Linked DNA regions of Drosophila melanogaster. The protein of the gene in region 1 interacts with the protein of each later gene in a pairwise test. Each region holds a gene or a part of one and is shown in the gene's direction. Other genes may lie near its edges.

Region 1 (4,556 bases):
AATCGAAGTTTCCTCCTAAGTTGATTGATTAGTGGTCGCCGGTCGAAAGCTAAACTAATTTTGAAACAATAAAAAAAGTTGGACGGCAAGCACAAGTGATAATTATTGGCCAGCTGTCTGTTTTATTTATTTTTATTATGTTACCCTTCTCCCGCTTCCAATTTGCGATTGCTGATGCAGTCGAAATTCTCTTCTTTTCATTTAATTTTTTTTTTCTTTTTGTTTTAACCTTTTTTGCAACATTAACTAACCCGGCGATGTTCGTTTAAGCCGGAATGCAAATTGACTTGTTTCCGTTGCTAGCCGCTAGCCATCCTTTTCTCCGCCTCTCGTGGCGTCTCTTTTTTTTCGCCATTTGCCATCTCTGTCTATTACTTCCTTGCGCCATCTATTATGTAGATGGCATAAAACAAAGAATGAGCCATCTCCTTCGTCTGGTTTCGTTCGTGGTTTTGATTTTCCTTTTCTCACCCACACACACTGCGTACTACTTCTACTTGTTTCCTTTTCTCTATTCATCCTTTCTACGCACTCTTCGTGCTTTTCCTTTTGGACCGATTCCGTTTTAACTTTTTTCTCCTCTTTTTCCGCGCCAGCATTTGGCTTAAGTTTTGCAATTTTGAGCTAATGCCTGCGACTACGAAGCCGCTTTTCCCACATTTCTCTACCCTTGCCCTCAAGTTTTGCTTCAGTTTTTATCGTTTAGTTGGTGCTTCTTTAAGCACTGAGAGAAATTTTAAAATGCAACCGATATATATATATGTATTGATATAGAAAAGATTGCATATTTTTTTGAATTTTATATACAAGGTGCGGGTTCTTATTTTTGTGATCTTAGCTACTGAGCCTTACTTTGAATTCCGTTTCACAACGAAAACCATATATGGAGCTTATATATATGAATGGAGTATTTTAGTTTTCTGTGCACTCCAGTACACACCTCTGTTTGATTTTTCCAGAGAATGCAGGGAAGAGTGCTAGATTTATGCATTGCCATGGTGGCTTCGTTGGCTTCCCAGATACTGCTCCTTTTGTTTCCCTTCAATGCAATTTAAATCCACGCACCCGGCAACGAATGGAATGGAATTGAAACGGAACTGAATGGACGGACGGATTGGCCTATATTGAGATTTATTGTCTCATCGCTCTAATTACAATAAGGCAGTGCCTACCACTGTGCGTCGCAATGTCGCCATTCTTATTCCATTCTCAATTTCGAAGCCCACTCCTGAGCCCCGTGGCGAATGCCAAGGAATTCCATTTAAATTACTTTTTAATGTCCTGCTCACACACACACACACATAGACACAAGCAAAACCTACGCACACACAGACGTGCTAGCAAATCCTGTAGGAAGACTGAAAAATGGTTTGAAAATGCATTTAATTGAGGTTGTCCTTTTTTTTTCGAAACTCCTGCAAAGAAATACTTGAATGGCCGAAGGGCCATTGTTTGACTCTTGCTTGTTGCCTACCAATAAGTTTATATGTTTCCATACTTATTCAATCAATAGTGATTACCTTGATGCAGAGGCATGTTTGGCTAAAAATATATATTTCATGCCCGAAAGCCATTCAAAATCAGCTAAAAAACCAATTGCCATAGTTTAGGTTTAACTTTGAGAGAGAAATTTGGCATACCGTTTTCATTAAATAACTTTAACTGGAATTTAGCTGTTGGCACAAGAGATTTTTCGCCTGACTTAATCAACGTAATCACTTAATCATAATTAATGATAATGACAAATACATTCGATATATGTATTTAGGCCAGTAATCTTGGCATCGCTTTCGATCGAGTTACCATTGGGTACATTTATGTCAGTGCTCTTGGCTTGGTTTTTGATCCAGTCGACATAGGGATAGCAATCATGCCAGTCACACATACACACACTGACTAGCCAATATCAAAGACCGAAATTAAGCAGACATATTTTCTATTCGGAAGTACAAAAAAAAAACATAAAAAACATGTCATCTAGATTCAAGTCGAGAATTCCGGAACGCGTTAGACACTCGCTAACGGTACTGGATGGTCCAAACTCGCGGATATCCCGCATCCGTGATGCCGCGCTACCAAATCGCTGCTCGCTGAACCGCTCCCATTTGCCGATGCCAATAAGCAATACGCTGAGCGCTCTGGTGAAGCCAGTATCGCCGAAAGTTGTATTTAAGAAAACGCTAACGGATGAGGAAGCGGTAATCCGCTCGCTGGTGCGACGTTCAAAACCGCTGGCAGTTCGTGGCAATCGTACATCCTTTCGCCGCATTCAATTGGCTCACGCTGCGCCAATTGACGATTCTTCCGTGCTGTTGAAAGCCACCAATAGCTTTTGCAGCACCAATTTTCAGCTGCAAAAGCCCATAAAGGAGGCAAGTCCGGGTGCCACAGAGAAGGATCGTGCCGCTAACAAAGTGAGGTCCGCAAAAAGTCTGCTGGATCTGGTGGCCGGAAGAAGGCAACCGGGTATGGAACAAATACGTTTCCTTTGCAGCGATCATCGCCTGATCAATGTGCCCAGTCCCTTGATGTATCGCCATTCGGAGGTGATGAGCCGTTTGGAAGGGGAGGTGCAGCCAATTCCGTTGCGGTCCATTCGATCGGCGACACTGCTACGTGTGATTATGTGGATGCACAAGAAGACTCTATGCGCAAACGGAACTGAAAAAATCGCCGCGCCGACACCAACAGTTGAGACGTGCATTTGCGAAATAGGCAAAGGAAACGGATATACGAAAAGCGAGGCCAGCTGTCAAATCAGTGAGAACACTCAAGGTAATGCTCAACAAACGGTAAATTTAACATGTCAGATCCTCGGCGAAAAAATCGAAAATGATTGCACAAAAATACTTAAGAATGTAGAATTTGATTATGACCATACACCGATTAGAAATGATAATATCGAGAATAGTTGTGAAAACAATGATGAAAGTGTTAATGACGAGGCAGGTGTTATAAGCAATCAAACAAGCGACTCAATGGAAAGTTTCGAAAATAACTTGCAAAATCAAGAAAATTTTATGGTCGAATGTTCTACAGATATCAAATGTAATGATTACAAACAAAACGAAAATCAAAAAGACGAGAACTGCACAATTATAGATGAAAATAATGGAAAGTTAGTGTTATATAATCCAAACATTCAATTAATTCAAAATAACGAAAACACAAACAAAAGTAGTAGAGATTGCAAGAATGATACAATTAATGAATTCACAAAAGTAAATGGTAACTATCAAGATTACATTCAAATTACCGAAATTGGCAATAATAATATCACAGGTGTAAATACTGGCGAAGATGAACGTGAAATCGGTTGCTTAAAAAGCACGGATAAAATCGTAATTCATGCCAATGTGATGCAAAATTTTTGTAAACGAAATATATGGAAATGCAATGGGATTAGAAGGTGTACAGGCGAGGATGCCAACGATGATCAATGCGTTGCTAACTTAAATGAAATGAAGCGTTCCTCATTTCTTCTTTGCTCATGGGAAGAGCGATTGTTGGGCAGCGAACTGTACCAGCTGGTGGAAATTATCCTGGCGTCTCATTATTTGGGCATCGAGTCGCTGACACTGAACGCCATTCATCATTTCTGTGAACTAATGGCTCAAAGGACTCGCTCGGAATGCTGCCTAATGCTAGGGATCAAGACACGATTGGCTAGTGAGCGCCAAACTTTGGATAACCACTGTCCGTTGATCAGGGACTCACTGTCGCGAAATAATCAAGCAGATAGGACCGAAAATATGAAGCAGCAATTTGAATCCAGAATCTTCAGGAAACCACAACCGAACGGAAAGGCAGCTGTAGGAGGTGGAATGGGAGATGGACTTTATGCCAAAAAGCCTCGCAGTCGCAACCATTAGTACGGTTTCCAATCAAGAACAATGAACTCAAAACTTTTAGATTGTATACGCAATATACTTTTGTACTTTTATTGTTTTTCTTTTATCAATTCTCATTTAGTGTGGTTTATATGGTTGTATGCCTTTTTTTTTTGCTTAGTCACCCATGCGCTTGTCCCATTTATTTTCCACCTTCATTTTGATGATTTATTTAATTGCGAAATAACAACGAGACCTTCAGTTTCATATTGCTTAGAAGACACACGTCAGAGTCGATTAATCCACTGGCAGGTGGCAAACGCAAACTTTTTGCTTGACCAAAGCCGCAATAACGAAAACATTCTGATTAAATATTGCACTGAAAAATATACACATAGCTCACTACTTAATAATATTTTTAATACTTTTAAAATAGCAGATTGGCAGTATAAAATATGTTTTGTTCGATTTTTCTATGCTCTATTATTATTATTTTTTTTTGTAAACGAAATTAAAAGAAATTCATCTCTAATGCATTAATGCACATTTTAGGAGAAACTAGCATAAATACAGAAAAAATATTGTTTCAATGGGCGATTTGCGATTTGTTCTCAGTGCACCTGTGGCATAATTAACTCGCCAAGAAATGGGTGGCCACTGGATCGAGTGGGTGGTGAGTGATGTGGACTATCTCTACAGGCGATGTGCGGCAATTAAGCGATAAAA
Region 2 (5,464 bases), on another chromosome or scaffold:
GATGAGATTAAGTTGTTCTGGAACTTTAATGGTGTGTGCTTGGCTAAATCTATATAGTATTAATTCAATACGATTTTATTGATCATAAATCATTTTTTCGCTCGGTATAACCTAGAGAAATGTAATAGGCACGATATTTCGACTGAGCAGATCGAAATGGTTCTATAATTCATAGGCCAGAATAGCTGAAGTCTTCAGCAATTACTAAGCACCCAAACGATTATATCCACACGAAACACACCCACCCAAAAGTAAGCTATTTTCGGAACTAGCCGGCACTGATAAGGCGTCTGCTCTTGAACTGATATCACAGCGATTCCCAACGGCGGAGCACATGTGCGAAGAGCCACGGATGCTGTCCCATTTTTCCGCACCCACAAGATGCCGCCAAGTTTTATTTGGTTGCTGGCCAAGTGCCAGGGCCACGCTGCAGTTCTTGACTGTGACGCAAGTCGGCAATTAAAGTGGCCAATATGGGGATTGGCACGAGTATGGCCAATGTGAGGGAACGGGTTCCGATGCGCTGGGTCCTCGAATGAATTGTGGGTGTATTTTTAATTCAATATTTCTACTCTTTCGCAGATATCTGTGTTTTCGGTGTACAAAGATTTCACAGTTGGCTCGCGTTCGCCCTCGGCACTTTCCTACTGAGACGGGAATGCGCCGGGAAATGGAAGCCGGGTATGGAAACCCTTGATCGATGGCACTGGTGGATCGGCGACAGAAACAATAACAACAATAATAGCTAATAAAGAACCGTACTTGTAATAGCGAAGTAAATAATGTTAGTTGAAATGTTGCTACTGGAAACGGCACACCCATAATACCCATGCATACTATACTATATACTATACTATACAATACAATACTTTAAAACACTATACTGCTATATACAGTAGTGTATAGAAAGTTATATACATACATACATGCATACAACTAGTTTAATGTACACAATCAACATTCATGTTAAATTACGACTACGCAGAACCTGAGTTCATCGCTTCACGTCACTCCAATTATGCATCAAAATGCATCTAAATAGCATTAGGCTGAGAATTGAGAACAGAGAACGTTTGTGAAAACCAATTGTGTTTGTATGTGTAACAAAATGAAATTGCTAGATAATTATAGTTTATTCGTACATGTAATTTAATGTAATGTAATACCATGGCCCTTATTTATGTTTGCTACGATGCAACAAAATCCACCAAGTCAGCAGTCAATCGGTACTTAAAGTCGGTACTTACAACGTTTATACCCCCTAACACAGCCCCCTATATACATACATACTTAGGTGCACACGGAAGGGGCATCTACATCGGCATTTACATGATATTGTTGTAATAAACCAAACCGAAATGTGAACAGAATTTTTAATTGTACTAAACTAAACACCGTTTTGTATTCGTATTCGTAATTGTATATCCGTAATTGTATTTCGCGTACTCGTTAATGGTTAATGGTTAAGAGCGCCCAATCCTAATCTAATCCAAAGTCATTTGTATCAACGGCCTTTACTTCTCGTTTACTTTATACATCTACCAGGGAGTTTATAAAGATATAGAAAGTTATTGAATGAGATGCAACGAAAACAATTACCACTGTACTTATTGAATATTGCAATTGCCTAAGCACCCCACTAAATGCATGGGAAGAGAAGACAACTATTTATGTAATCACTAAGCGTACTTACTGTCCACATTCATTTACTTGTTGTTGAATAAAAATTACCTTTTACCAAATGCCATGCATTTTGAAAAACGAACTTTCAATTGCGCGCGCCAAATGCTCGACGACTGCGATCGATAGCAGCGCGGACGATGACGATAACGATAAGTGATAGCCAAGTGGCTCGACAACGATCGTTTCGGTTTCGGCCACTTTTGTTTATGACCAACAAACAGTTTCCAGTCAGCAGGCAAGCCCAAAGGTTTGCTCACAAAAAAGTGCCAAATTTTCCTGGTAAGCATCGAACGATATAGATATTACGACTTTCGGGCTTCTAGATAGACAGGTGCCATTTATTGGTCGAGTGTTTACAAGTTTAAAATGGCCAGGCCAAAATGCCAAAAAAAAATCGTGTGTGTTGACGTGCATGTCGAAATAGACGCGGAAACCAGTTCGCGGTAATTGTTTTGATGCTGTGTTGTAATCTGTAAGACCGCCCAGCGAAAACATTAGCACATTGAGCCATGTTTCCCTTTGTTGAGATTGCTGCCGTATATTGTATCTTGTAAGTTGCTGTTGCTTTGGCCGATGGCCATGTTGCTGCTGCAAATGTGGCTGTTGCAGATGTTGCTGCTGTCACCATTAGTATCTTATTATTTTTAATGTCTTTTTGAGTCTGCTCAACGGCCTTAGTTACTGGACGGGGTCTAATAAATTCATTCAAAACAAAAGTTGACCGTGGCCAAGTAACACACTAAGGGGAAGTAGAAATCGAAAGCTATAGAGCGACAATGATTTATATACGAATTTTCATCAGATTTCCTCTACAACGGAAACTAGCTGCTCACTATATCTTCAATATATCCGTCTAAATGTGCGAACAGCATTCAAACTTTGCTTATATTATAAATTATAAAGTTAACAGTCATTTTTGGCACTTTAAAAGTGCGAATGCCATTAATACGAACAGAATTAAGGTCGCGTTGCATTAGAAGGTAACCGAAAATAATGATTTAATTAGTAAGTTTATTTATTTTTACTAAGCTCTAGGCCATTAAGAAATAATTGTTACTTAATTACAGCTTTGAAAGTTATTTTCAGATTTTATTTTAAATTAATAAAAAGTATTTGCTGTAATCAAGGAATATATGTAGCTCTATATACTATAAGATACAAACTAGTAAGTTGGTTACTCATATTTACATTTATGCAAATAAATAGTAGTTAAAACCCATTTTGATAAGGTGAAAGCCAGTTTATATTACACAGACTATAAAAAGCAAATAATTGAAGTAATCATGGGAATTTGGATTACACAAACTAACTATAACTATAAGTAAACATATAGGTAATATAAAAGTGGCCGCCTTTATTAGCGCCGCGGAGCGTCACGTAAGCCGAGCATTTGAAAAACCGCCGAGTCACTTGGAAACCTGCTCCGCTGACCCTCGAAGAAGGTCGCCGGCTGGTGATGAGCCAGTTTATGTGTGTGATGTCCAAGTGGCCGGGCTGGTCCAAGTGGGGCCGCCGACCATAAAAGCCACTCTCACGGAAACTCCACTTAACCACTTAAGCCAGCCCAGCTAACCTGCAGTCGGTCTCGTTGCAGTTAAACCAAAAACCAGTGTACTTTGACCCTGGACGCAATGGGCAACAAAAGCGGGGAAGTGCTGCTCGTAACCGGCGGCAGTGGCTTTTTGGGTCAGCACCTCATCAAGCAATTGCTGGAGCGGAAGGAGGAGCTGGGCATCAAAGAGATCCGCTCACTGGATATAGTGCCCTACAAAAACAACATTGGCCACGAGGAGACCTCCCTGCTGCGCACCTATGTGGCCGATATCGGTGGCGATCTGAAGGCACTCAGTCCCATCTTCAACGGAGTGGACGGGGTCTTCCACTGCGCCGCCTCGGTGAAAATCGAGTATCCGCCGAACTACGAGGAACTGGAGCGCGTAAATGTGAACGGTGAGTGAGCGAATAAAGTACCTCGTAAGATAGGTAATTCCAGGCAACTAAACTGGGCTTGGAATAAACATTGATTTGATCTTAATTTCGAGTTTATTTCTTCGCTTTGTTAGGCACCCTGGCCGTAGTAGACCTCTGCATTCAAAACAATGTGAAGCGCCTGGTGTACACAAGCTGCACATCCGTCTGTTTTGTGCCCTTCAAGGGTCGGAGTACCTTCTCGGCGGTGATTAACTCGACGGAATCCAAGACAGACACTCCCACGCTGGACAGTTCCACTTTGTGGGAGCAGGATAATCAGTTCCTGATACCCGGATACGCCTCGAGCAAGCTTAGGGCAGAGAACATAGTGCTCAACTCGAATGGAGCGCCACTGCATAACCAGAAGGGTAAGTTTGGCCGATTACTTAGCATTGACTTATTTAAAGACATTTAAATATATTAACATTTGTAATCCTCTGCAGAATATCTGGCCACCAGCGCCATGCGTGCCCCTTTGACCTATGGCGAGTGTGACTCGCACTTCATCACGGAGATTTTCGACTTCCTTTCGACTAGGGGATGGGTGTTCCCAAGGATCGCGGGCGTGGGCGGAAAGCAGCAGTTGGTCTACGCCGGGAATGTGGCCTGGGGTCACATCTGCGCCTATAAGGCCCTCAAGGTGTCCGATAAGGCGGTGAATGGACTGCCCGTCTTTGTCACCGATGATACGGGCATCAATGATGTCTCTCGTTTTGTCCAGAAGATGGCCGTGCTGGGCGAGCGGTTTAAGGTGAAGACCAGCTGGTGGTATGTGCCGCACTTCCTGTTCTTCTTTCTGGCCTTCTTGCTGGAGGTGGTAGTGCGGGTGGCCTATCCATACACCAAGTACCGTCTGCGGTACTCACTGCGCGCCATCGCCTCCTACACGTCCTCGATGCTGATGTACAATCGTCTAAGGGCCTCCATCCACATGGACTACATGCCACTCTTCGATCCGGATGCGAGTGCCGAGCGGAGCGCAAAGTGGTATGCCACGTGGTGGGACCAACGGCAGCAGGCCCAGAAGCTCAAGAAGTCCAGCTGAGTGGAGCTAATCCCCTATTACGATAGCATACTCCTCGATATCCTGAGTGGATTTGTGTTTACTGCCCTCTTTGATGTCCTGTAAATATCTTGTTAAATAAAATGGTTGTTGTTTGTATTACGAAGTCGTGGTTTAGTTTTGCAAAAGAAAACAAGAAATGAAGCTAGCATCGGCAAGTCAAAGTTAATGTACCCTTGCAGAAAAAAATAATTTATTTTCTATTAGTTTAAATAATTTTTCCGACTAATCCCATATGGTATATAATATTCCTTAAGTTTTTTCATAACTTACCGTCTTAATCTTGACCCTTTACATTTTTAAAACTTTCCGTATAAAAGAAGACCAGTAAAAAAACAATTAGCGTATGTTTTTGAACAATGTTCATATTGGTTTATTTATCATTATGAATTAATTTATTTATTTCTCAGTTATTTCATTATAATTTTTATTTTATATATATATTTATATATATATATATATATATATATATTTGTTTGTCTTGGTTTTCGGTTCATCTCGTTTTTTTGTTGCTCTAGAGCGTTTCTTGCCGTTTGTTTTTTAAACTTATGTACCATTAGCTTAACTTAATATGCCATTATTTAATTTCATTTTTGTTTAAAATCATGTTTTAGTTCATTTTTGTTTGTTTTCTTCGTTTTTTGTTCATTTTGGTTTAATATGCTGTTGCTGATCTATGTTCTTGTTGCTGATTCTGCCTATTTCACTGCCGATTTTAACCCCATCGAGAGTATAGTGGGATTAGCT

Evidence for each region.
Region 2: the proteins of CG4661 (region 1) and CG7724 interact in a two-hybrid assay, tested with the Drosophila melanogaster proteins (one large-scale study listed by BioGRID).

What each region holds. Positions count from the first base shown.
Region 1 is NC_004354.4:12,855,074-12,859,629, reverse strand, and holds CG4661 (uncharacterized protein), read left to right. Parts: upstream 1-1,907; 5' UTR 1,908-1,970; coding exon 1,971-3,872; 3' UTR 3,873-3,942; downstream 3,943-4,556.
Region 2 is NT_037436.4:17,053,716-17,059,179, forward strand, and holds CG7724 (uncharacterized protein), read left to right. Parts: upstream 1-1,897; 5' UTR 1,898-1,962; intron 1,963-3,277; 5' UTR 3,278-3,314; coding exon 3,315-3,633; intron 3,634-3,746; coding exon 3,747-4,022; intron 4,023-4,097; coding exon 4,098-4,699; 3' UTR 4,700-4,818; downstream 4,819-5,464. Other genes in the region: rogdi, read left to right, coding at 583-651.